3 linked regions of the Danio rerio genome follow. Each later gene encodes a partner of the first gene's protein in a complex. Links are inferred from orthologs where the notes say so. Each region holds a gene or a part of one and is shown in the gene's direction. Other genes may lie near its edges. The genes, in order: pola1, pola2 and prim2.

Region 1 (3,659 bases):
AATAAATTTTTTCTTTATTGGCATTGATTGTTTTGAAATTCAAATGGCATTAACATGCCTGTGTTTTAATTTCTGTAATAAATATGGCTGTCAAGCCAGCATCTTGATAGTTTATTGTGGGTATGTTGTTTACATGAAGAAATCTGTGTTACAAGTTAAACAAAAATTCTAATAAACAATTATATTTTCATAAATTGTTTTTGTCTTGCGTTTACCTTAATTTTACATTTAAAATGGCAAAATTACAAGATTCAGTTTTTTTAATTTGATTTATCACCATTAATTTTCAAAAAAAAAGTGTGATTAATTAGTAAAATTTTTAATCGATTGACAGCACTATTCCATATAATTAAATATGTTATATTTAACTAATTACATTCTTTTGCAGTGGTGAGCAAGCCTAATGACTGTGTCTTCCCTTATGACTTTAAGGATGCAGTTAGGAAAAAGGTTATTTTTTTTAATCGCCTACATTTCTATTATTTTTGATTTCTGCATGAGGTTATGGAGCATTAAATAAACCTCTGCGGTCTTTTTTTGTTTGTTTACCTCAGAACGGCATTGTCGAGATTGCTGGTACAGAACGTGCGCTTTTAGGCTTCTTCTTGGCCAAGATGCACAAGATCGATCCAGATGTCTTAGTGGTGAGATTAAATGCTTGACTGGAATATTACTGATGAATTTTATTAATTTTTAATTCAATCACCTTTTTTTTGCTGTAGGGCCATGACATCTTTGGTTTTGACCTTGAAGTGCTTTTGCAGAGGATCAATGTGTGTAAAGTACCTCACTGGTCAAAGATCGGCCGTCTAAGAAGAGCCAACATGCCCAAACTGGGGGTGAGAGAACTATTTGGAAGCACTGAACTCTTAGCACATTTTGAATTCAGTGTTTTTAATCTATCTGTGCATTACAGGGTCGCAGTGGCTTTGCTGAGAAGAGCGCAACTTGTGGGCGCCTGGTCTGTGATATTGAAATTTCAGCCAAAGAGCTGATCCGGTGCAAGAGTTATAATCTGACTGAGCTGGTGTCCCAGATCTTGAAGGCGGAGAGGCCGGTGGTGCCACCAGAGAACATCAGGAATTTCTACAGGTGTGGTTGCACACAGTCCTGCTTCCGTTGTGTAGCACTGTTAACCCTTTCACGAGTACAATCACACCGTTCAGAGCACACATCATCAGCTGCTAAAGGCACTGAGGCATAAAACGAGGGTCTGGTGCTTGTCAGAAATAATTGTTTGTTTCTGTTTAACAAATATTTTATTTTGTGTTTCAGACCTTCAAATACACATAAAAGCAAGCAAACAGAATTTAAGATTTGACAATGGAGATGGCAATAATAATTATTTTTAAATATAACTGGACTATGTGCTTTATTCATGTAGTATACACTGTTTATGTTTCTTGAACGTTTATTCTAATAATCTGAAGAAAATTATAAGTAAATCCAGCAGCTCTGACCTCTCCTGCAGCGTAGACTAAACCTGGCAGTGCCCATTGTATATCAAATAATATGATATATTATTTCGGGTGCTCCTGTTTACCCCTCAAGTCCAAAAACATTTGGTATAAAAAGAAAACGAATGAGGGTTAAATTATTCCTATTTGTTTCTTTCTTTCTTTTGCAATAGTGATTCCACACATTTACTCTACCTTTTGGAGCTCACCTGGATGGATGCTAAGCTCATTCTACAAATCATGTGCGAATTAAATGTACTCCCGCTAGCACTGCAGATCACTAACATCGCTGGTAATGTCATGGTAAGATACATTTATAAATGGTTATAACTACACCAATGCTAATCACATTTTAGCTTGGTTACTTTTGTATTTAGAATGAAGCATACGTTTTCTGTTATTATAGAACGAGTCCCCCTGTTTGAGTAAAGGTTTGGGGGTGTTTACAATGTAATCTTAAGTTGCATTTTACCTTTACTCAAAAGTTACAATAATAAACAATTGTTCACAAAAAAAGATTGAAGCATGAATGTATATGTACGTTTGTGCAACAGTAGACCATTTTATTTGAATAGTCTGTGGAGCCATTTAAGGTTGCATGTTTTCTGATGTTTCAAACGCACACCTGAATCTGTTCATTTCTGTTCCTGTCAATATGATTTAGTAGCTACAACAGCTGCAACAATCCCTTAAAAAGAACAAAGTTACATTTTGAATTACTTTGGATTGTTACTTGATAAGACAGAAAAAAAAGAAAAGAAGAAGAACCCAAAATAGCAACATGAAACATTGAAACAATTTCTGACCACTTCATCTTTTTGTAACCAATTTCGTTTGGTATAATTTGTATATTTATTTTAATGTAATTTTTGTTGGTCAGTTATATTAAACAAAAAAAAAATTAATACATTTTAGGTGAAATGACGAACAAATGACGACGTTTTTTTCCAAAAATAAGGTAATTATGTATTAAATTCAAGTAGACCTATTATAACATCTAAAATGTAGTAATTCTGACAAGTTTCTTTATAATTCCTTGATAATTCGAGTAGTATCACAGTACTGATTGGTATTGTGATACTTCACCTGGTATAGTATCGTAAGATGAACTAATGGACTAGCATGCATACGTAGTGCATCAGGAAAGTATTCATAGAGCTTTACTTTTTCCACATTTTTTTATGTTATAGCCTTATAACAAAATGGATTCAATTAATATATTTTCTCAAAATTCTACACATAATACCCCATAATGTCAATGAGAAAAAAGATTTTTTTGAAATTGTTGCAAATTTATTAAAAATAAAATAAAAACTGAATAATCACTTGTTCATAATTATTTGGGAATCTTTGCCCATTACTCTTTGCTGTACCTTTCAAACTCTATCAGGTTGGATAGAAAGCGATGGTTTACAGCCATTTTCAGATCTCTCCAGAGATGTTTAATAGGATTTAGGTCTGGGCTCTGGCTGGCCCACTCAAGCACATTCACTGAGTTGTTGTAAAGCCACTCCATTCATATTTTGGTGATGTGCTTTGGGTTATTGTCCTGCTGGAAGATGAACCATTGCCCCAGTCTAAGGTCAAGGGCGCTCTGAAGCAGGTTTTCATTCAGGATATCTCTGTACATTGTCCTGACTAGTCTTCCAGTTTCTAGTCCACTATGAATACTTTCCGGATGCACTGTACACACCCATGCACACATGCTTGTAAAGTGTTTTTCCATCGATTCTCTTGTGGTGTATATACAGTTTATTTTTACTTTAATTTTATTTTTAAATAAATTATAATTATTAGTATAATAAATATAAATTATTCTTTTTACAAGTTTAAATACTTGTGACACTTTGTAATGCATTTTATGTTTTTGCAAAAGAAATTTCAGTCAGGCCTTACAGATTTCAATAAGGCTCTGATACCGACCATGTTCATTCTACATTCAGTATCCCTCTAATCCCAATATAAAATTCAAAATTTGGCTGCTGATTCATCAGTGCTTCTCTAATTTTGTATTTTTGAGATGCATGACTCCTAGTGATGCGTGTAATTCTTTTTTTCTGTAATGCTGTTCTCTTGCAGTCTCGTACTTTGATGGGTGGACGCTCTGAGAGGAATGAATATCTTCTGCTCCATGCTTTCCATGAGAGGGACTTCATTGTTCCAGACAAGCAGTTCTTCAAGAAGGCACAACAAGATCTGGTA
Region 2 (4,139 bases), on another chromosome or scaffold:
TATATACAGTTGAAGTTAGAGTTATTAGCCCCCTGTATTATTAGACCCTGTTTATTTTTTTTCCCAATTTCTGTTTAACAGAGATATTTTTTTCAACACATTTCTAATTATAAACATAATAGTTTAAATAACTAATTTCTAATAACTGATTTATTTTATCTTTGCCATGATCAAGGTAGATAATATTTTACAAGACATTTTTCAAGACACTTCTACACAGCATAAAGTATTATGTTAAATAGGTTTACTAGGCAGGTTAGAATAATTAGGCAAGTTATTGAATAACAATGGTTTGTTCGGTAGACTATTGGAAAAAATATATATAGCCTAAAGGGGCTAATAATATTAACCCCAAAATGTTTCTTTTTAATTAAAAGCTGCTTTTAATCTGGCTGAAATAAAACAAATGAGATTTTCTCTAGAAGAGAAAATATTATCAGACATGCTGTGAAATTTCCCTTGATCTGTTAAACATAATTTTTAAAACATTAAAAAAAAAGAAAATATATATAAAACTCTGATTTAAGCTGTGTGAACAATTACAAACGTATATGTGCAGTGGACATGTACAATTCAAGATGAATTAGTTCAACAAAGTGCAATGAATACGTATAAATATTAAATAGTGCAGTGTTTATGGGGAGTAAGACCGACTGTTTTGCTTTGGGACATCACTGTTGTGAGAAAACTGAATATACACAGTAAACATATAAATATACTGTACATTTCCTGGTTTAATTTATAAATGTTAACTGGTGTTTTAGAGGTGCAAATACTGTATAAAATAAGTCAAAACAACTGGGATTAATTTATATACATGAGATGAATGAAAGTAAACATTTTGGACCTAAAAATAGCTATAATGCCTCCTCTTCTGTTTTGGAGTAAGAAGTGACCAGGAAGTGTTACTAGCAAGTTCTAAAAGGTTTATATTATTTAAATTTTAAATATATTACAGGTTTAACTTTGATTATTATATCTATAAGGGGACATTTGATTAAATGGTTTGACAGCATGCAGTACTAAAACATTTCAAACCAACCTTGACTCTTCACCTCCTGGTGTGTTCGAGACTTCTTCTCGGCTTTAACCTTCGGCATTTTGACAAATAATATCAGCGACAGTGAAAAGTAAGATGTAAATCACAAAAATACTTATACGTTTACAGCACCACAAACACGTGTAGAAGCTACAGGGTTTATTCTGTTTCCTTTCAGCTGATCTGGGAGGAAATTCGGTTGCGGTTGACCTTGCGCTCCCTCTGCCGTTCTGGAGGAGACGTGCAGGAACCGGAAGTGACCTTTCAGTGGGTTTTGCGGGTAGTACATTTTCGCGGCAATCCGAACGTGATGCAAAGACTGCTGAGGAATATGACAGCTGATTTTGACGTTTAATAAAAGGTAATCTTGTCATACAAGTCATTAAAACGTGTTCATTAGGATTGTCTTATTTCGAACTTGCTGTTATGTTGAGTAAAACTGTTTATAAAGCTAAATAAGTGAATTCGCGAGAGCGCCATTGTGTTTACGTTAGTATTTAGTGAGAGACTTAACATTTCTGACTGTTATAAGTCCGTTTTAATAATTGTGTGGTGTGAATGTTTTTGAAAAACCTGTTTTCTTTTTTAGGAGGTTGTTTTTTTACATTTGAACATCAGAGGACAATAACAATGGCTTCAGTCACTGCAGAGGACATCAAGTCTGAGCTGGACACTTTCAACATAGCCTTCAACAATGACACCATCGACAAAAGTAAATGTCCAATCTATTCATTGTGTGTGATTTTAGTATTGTTGACATGATTTAATGCTCTAAAATATATGCATCTCTTAATTTTAAACACACAAATATACATGTATGTGGTTGTGTGTTTGTAGGCAAGTACTTACAAATACACATTGAGGTAAATTTGGTTTTATGTTCACACATTAGGACTTTCTCCTTAATAATAATAACTTCAGAAATTATTTATTGCAAAAAAAAAACTGAAATCATATTAGCAGCAAATGACTATCAAAGTACAACATTGTTTGGAGTCAAATAAATAGTACCAGTGTTGTTTTCAAGTCATGCTTACATGTGATTTTAGACTGAATATTCAAATTACCATGCAGAGTTTTCAACTAACCCAAGTGGTTAAGATATTTTCTTGCTCTGCCAATATTTTTACTGGCCCCACCCAAAAAAAAAATAATTGCTATTTTTTTTAGCCACACATTTTAAAGAATGTGTCAAAAATAATCTAAGATGTATATATTTTTAAAATGTATTGTGAGCAAAATTCAAAGTGTTATGCAAACAAATAGAGCAGTATGGAAAATGTGCCGGTGTTTTATTGCAGCTCTACATTATTTAACAAATGGTGGCTGACTTGCCAAACTGAAAACTAACTGTGCAAACATTACTTCATTTTTTTCGTTGTGTTGTATCCACATCTGCTACTAAGAATTTAGAAACAAACGTTTTCGTTTAGCCTCATAATTTTATGCTACCGCCTCGTCGCTGAGACCAGAAACAAAAAAAACATGCTCACAACATCTAGTCACATAAGAGGACCCGAAAAGCAATATGGTGTTTTTGATATCACAGAGAAGGTAGCATTTAAAGGCTTAACAGCACAAACTGTTTCTCGATTCTAAGACTGTATTTCGACGCAATTGACATTGTCGCAGGCAAATTAAACTTTAGTAAGCACTGGTACGATTGGGCCAGTAACAATCCTGTCTACTGTCCTGAGCATTTCACACGCTGGCCTGGGCCATCTTCTTGTTGAGCCCTGCCACGGTGAACAATAAAGGGAGCATGTCACAAGTTGTCACTGAACGAATGTGCGAAAAACTTTACCTCAATTAAATACACATGACTTTTGTTTTTTTTTCTATTGTAGTGTTGGAGCAGTGTTTTTGTCACAGGCTGACGGGTGAAGAAATTGTATTCGAGTGGTTTGCTTTTAGCTCCACCAGAAAGCAGCTGCCGCTCACTCTCGAAAACCTGGACCAGTTTGAACAAGAAGTTAGTAAAATGACATTAAAAACTCCAACTGAAATTCTGCAGTGCTTTGAGATGCCAAAAATAAGATCCACAATGTTTCTATGCTTCATTTGCTTTAGAGCTAAACAATACAGTATTCCTGTATATCTTTTCAGCATTGATATTGCAATGTGTGAATCCTCAGTCACATTACATAGATATGCAATGTTGAGTTGACTTTGCGGTGTAATTTATTTTTACATTTACATATACAAAACCATAAAGCTTGCACTGTTTATTACACCTTTTTTTGCTTTGTTGCATTTATCTATGCCTGTAGTGTACTACATTTTATGCGATTTACTCCCTTTTAAAATCATCCCAATCAAACAGATATAATACATTTGTTAACACTTTAGGGACCAATTCTCACTATTAACAAATTGCTTATTAGCATGCTTGTTGTTGATATATTGGCTTCTTATTAGTTCTTACAAACAACCACAATAACTATTAATAAGGAGCAAATTAGGTGTTTATTGAAGCAAAAGTCATAAGGGTTTGCTAAGAGTGAGAATTGAACCTTAAAATAGTGTGACCAAAAAACTATTTAGTCATTTGGTGGAACTGTATAGCATCAGTGTATCGCAATGTACATTACAGACAAATAAAATATTGCAATGTCAAATTTTTCTAGGATTGTGCAGCCCTAATTTGCATACTGCTTCTGCACTCCTTACAGGTACTGAACAAGAAGAAAAAGCCTAAAAGCACCTCAAAGGGAAGCCAAATAAACAAAACCAGAGACATCAACTCCATCCAGGAGCTGTATCCTCATAAAGCTCAACATAAAGATTAATGATTGTTTAATTTTTATTCATAAATGTTCAAAGTGATCTTCTTAACTGAGTCTTGCAGAATCAGAGCAGAGGAGGAAGAGGAGAACATGCTGGATTCCTATTCAACACCTGCCAAGGTGAGACTAAATAAAGACAGAATAATGAGGGAGACTTGTTGGAAATGTATGAAGATAGATAAAAATGCATGGTCTGCAAGTGTTTTTCAGTCACAGATTAACCTCCGGTTAAAGGTTACTGTGGCTATTTTAAATTTCATAAGGTTCCTTTTACAGCATTGATGATGTGATGTATTTAAATTATAATCAGTTAA
Region 3 (2,595 bases), on another chromosome or scaffold:
AAAGTGACATTTAAAGATGAGTTTATTAGGTTAACCAGGCAGGTTAGGGTAATTAGGTAATTCATTGTAAACCGATGGTTCTGAAGACTATCGAAAAAGAATGGCTAATAATTTTGTCCTTAAAATGGTGTTTAAGAAATGAAAAACTGCTTTTATTCTAGCCGTAATAAAACAAATAAGACTTTCTCCTGAAGAAAAAATATTATCAGGCATACTGTGAAAATTTCTTTGCTCTGTTCAACATAATTTTGGAAATGTTTAAAAAGGAAAATATATATATATATATATATATATATATATATATATATATATATATATATATATATATATATATTTTTTTTTTTTTTTTTTTTTTTTTTTTTTTTTTTTTTTTTTAATTAATTTCTTCATTTTCGCTTTTCATTTTCTGGATTTAGGATTTAATATAAATTTGTTGTCAAAATAATGTAATTACTTATTAAATGTTAAAATTAAATGAAAAAACTAAATGTTTAATGTTTTAACGCTTTGTCAAAATTAAATGTAACCATTCCCTTTATTTCCGATCCATGATTACTCCTTTAAAAGAAAAATCAATAAACGTTTATTTTTATTTTATATATATATATATATATATATATATATATATATATATATATATATATATATATATATATATATATATATATATATATATATAAATTTTTTGTATTATTATTTATGCAATAACAATAATTAGTATTAGTGTAGTGTATAATACATTATATATTTCTATCCGTTTTTATTTTTGGTTAAACTTAAATTAAAGAGTTGTCATGAAAGTGCTTGAGTTGATGATATTAAAGTTTTTCACACATAATTTTGAAGATCAGTCTGGGCAGCTACTGTATAGAGATGAAGTTCCTCTGTTTATATCCTCATATTGAGACTGGAGACACTAGCTATGTTTCCATCCACCTATTATTATCTGCATTTTGGATATGCGCATAAAAAATAGTTGATGGAAATGCCAAGATGCGTATCAATTTTCAAAATGCGCATAAAAATGTTTGCGCATAACTGGATAATTAGCATAAATGTTTTGTTCGATAAGAAGAAATGCGCATAAACTGTGATGGAAACATATTAATTAAACAAACTTCAGTATACGCAAAAAAAAAAGTTATGTGATTTTGTTCTGTGAGATTATATGATGTTAAAATGTGTGAATGGAGAAACCAGCATCTGAGCACACGGTAAAACATCTGAAATGTTGTTTTGGTCACTTTAAAATGCAGTAACTGTATCAGTATTCAGTATTAGTGTTATATTATTAATGACCTCCAGAACTGTCAAGAGCGTCTGTGCCCCGCGTCTCACACCTTCAAATGATACCACATGTTCATTGCATGTCGGCATTGTCTAGTGAGGAGCAAGTCATTTATTAAATAAAGTAAAGATTCATGCAGCTTTTGCTGCAAATTCCGATTTTACTGTTGGTATTTGGCACCAGTTAATCAGGAAGTGACTATTTTGTTGTCTTTGGATGGAAATGCTGCTTTATTGCGATATTCTAGTTTTGCAAATAAATTTAATTAGCATTTTTGGATGGAGCTTCTGTCTTCTGCTTACATTTTGTCTTGTTTGTTTGTTACAGGTTGAGGATGCTGGGTTTTCTCTCAATCATCCAAACCAGTACTTCACAGAGAGCCAGAAGCTTCTGGGTGGAGGCCAAGGCATCAAGAAAGAAGTGGAGATGTCACAAAAAAGCCAAGAAAATCCTCCCAGTGCGTCCCGTCCATCTCAGGCAAACCCTAAACAGGCCCAAGAGGAGATGGGGGATTTAGACTCCTTCTTCCAGGATGAATGATTTTGTAGAACCTAAGGAAAATACAGGGCTCTTACTTGTATTCACTGTTTAAGACACAAACTGTCTTTTCAACATTGAAAAACTTGCATATGTCTGTTTTTACCTTGTCTTTATATTGATAAGATTCTTCTCAAATGACATGTTTTTACCAAAAAAAAAAAAAAGAATAAATAAAAGCACATTAAAATTACATAACATTACTTAAGTTTTATTTTTTGTTACAAAGTACTGAAATCTAAAAAAACCAGGACACACCAAGTTAAAGGTCACCCATTGGGCCTTTCTAAAAATATAAAACAGTATACTGTTATTCATCAAGAATCCATTAAATTGGTCAAAACAACTGTAAAAACATAGTTTCACAGAAATGATTGGAAGTAAAATGAGGCTGTAACACGCCAACACTGCTGAGATGAATATATAAGTATATGTGCTGTTCTCTTTCTTCTGAGTAATCAAATAAACACAAGAAAAATGACAGCAGTGAGAAATGGGTTTGAAAATGAACATTGCAATATTGGTTCAATCAAAAAGGTGCTATTGAACTCATAATTGTGTCTTTCCAACTCATTAATCTTCCCAGTGGAACTTGAATAGCAATGGCTGCTGAAAATGTAGGAATATGGCTGTGTTTAAATGAAAATATCTCATAGTTTCACTCACAGTACTAAAAGGTTTTGTTCAACAAAAATGGCAATAGTTGAATCACTCTCGTGTTGTTCTAAACCCCTAGACCTTCATTCTACTTTGAAATGCAGATTAAGATG

What was found.
Region 2: the proteins of pola1 (region 1) and pola2 are in contact, whole or in part, in a cryo-EM structure (PDB 8G99), measured with the Xenopus laevis proteins. The link is inferred for Danio rerio from reciprocal best matches to the Homo sapiens genes POLA1 and POLA2. Residues at the interface, in NP_001082055.1 of Xenopus laevis: Gln548, Lys551, His553, Gln554, Asn555, Phe642, Glu645, Val646, Gln649, Asn652, Leu673, Gly675, Arg676, Phe679, Lys1137, Asp1141, Pro1143, Asp1144, Ile1321, Gln1322, His1324, Asn1325, Lys1326, Leu1328, Leu1329, Arg1332, Ile1335, Lys1336, Tyr1338, Tyr1339; in XP_018112289.1 of Xenopus laevis: Met280, Tyr281, Lys282, Phe283, Met284, Phe285, Gln286, Lys287, Leu288, Met289, Ile291, Arg292, Val295, Ser296, Ile299, Glu314, Thr316, Leu320, Pro321, Gln323, Glu324, Thr325, Val326, Gln331, Gly333, Cys334, Asp335, Ser336, Asn337, Gly338.
Region 3: the proteins of pola1 (region 1) and prim2 are in contact, whole or in part, in a cryo-EM structure (PDB 8G9F), measured with the Xenopus laevis proteins. The link is inferred for Danio rerio from reciprocal best matches to the Homo sapiens genes POLA1 and PRIM2. Residues at the interface, in NP_001082055.1 of Xenopus laevis: Leu842, Lys853, Ile894, Pro895, Glu896, Leu971, His974, Arg977, Glu978, Leu981, His982, Glu985, Gln988, Lys989, Asn991, Glu993, Asn1007, Asn1009, Arg1101, Asp1102, Glu1106, Gln1109, Glu1221, Asp1224, Gly1225, Asp1227, Ala1229, Leu1230, Met1233, Trp1234; in XP_018121015.1 of Xenopus laevis: Pro34, Pro35, Thr36, Glu37, Asn38, Ile39, Ser40, Leu41, Ile42, Phe44, Glu45, Ile49, Ile107, Phe110, Ile111, Leu114, Cys117, Gln118, Ser119, Glu120, Asp121, Arg123, Ala240, Arg241, Leu243, Val245, Val246, Gln247, Arg251, Leu252.

What each region holds. Positions count from the first base shown.
Region 1 is NC_133199.1:27,774,691-27,778,349, forward strand, and holds part of pola1 (DNA polymerase alpha catalytic subunit), read left to right. Parts: intron 1-388; coding exon 389-450; intron 451-554; coding exon 555-644; intron 645-722; coding exon 723-839; intron 840-916; coding exon 917-1,092; intron 1,093-1,630; coding exon 1,631-1,760; intron 1,761-3,536; coding exon 3,537-3,656; intron 3,657-3,659. UniProt on the Homo sapiens protein: Catalytic subunit of the DNA polymerase alpha complex (also known as the alpha DNA polymerase-primase complex) which plays an essential role in the initiation of DNA synthesis.
Region 2 is NC_133183.1:19,039,931-19,044,069, reverse strand, and holds the start of pola2 (DNA polymerase alpha subunit B), read left to right. Parts: upstream 1-1,300; 5' UTR 1,301-1,400; intron 1,401-1,628; 5' UTR 1,629-1,669; coding exon 1,670-1,751; intron 1,752-2,886; coding exon 2,887-3,011; intron 3,012-3,711; coding exon 3,712-3,797; intron 3,798-3,887; coding exon 3,888-3,945; intron 3,946-4,139. Other genes in the region: dimt1l (dimethyladenosine transferase), read right to left, coding at 1,043-1,100. UniProt on the Homo sapiens protein: Accessory subunit of the DNA polymerase alpha complex (also known as the alpha DNA polymerase-primase complex) which plays an essential role in the initiation of DNA synthesis.
Region 3 is NC_133188.1:26,670,492-26,673,086, reverse strand, and holds the end of prim2 (DNA primase large subunit), read left to right. Parts: intron 1-1,615; coding exon 1,616-1,828; 3' UTR 1,829-2,015; downstream 2,016-2,595. UniProt on the Homo sapiens protein: Regulatory subunit of the DNA primase complex and component of the DNA polymerase alpha complex (also known as the alpha DNA polymerase-primase complex) which play an essential role in the initiation of DNA synthesis.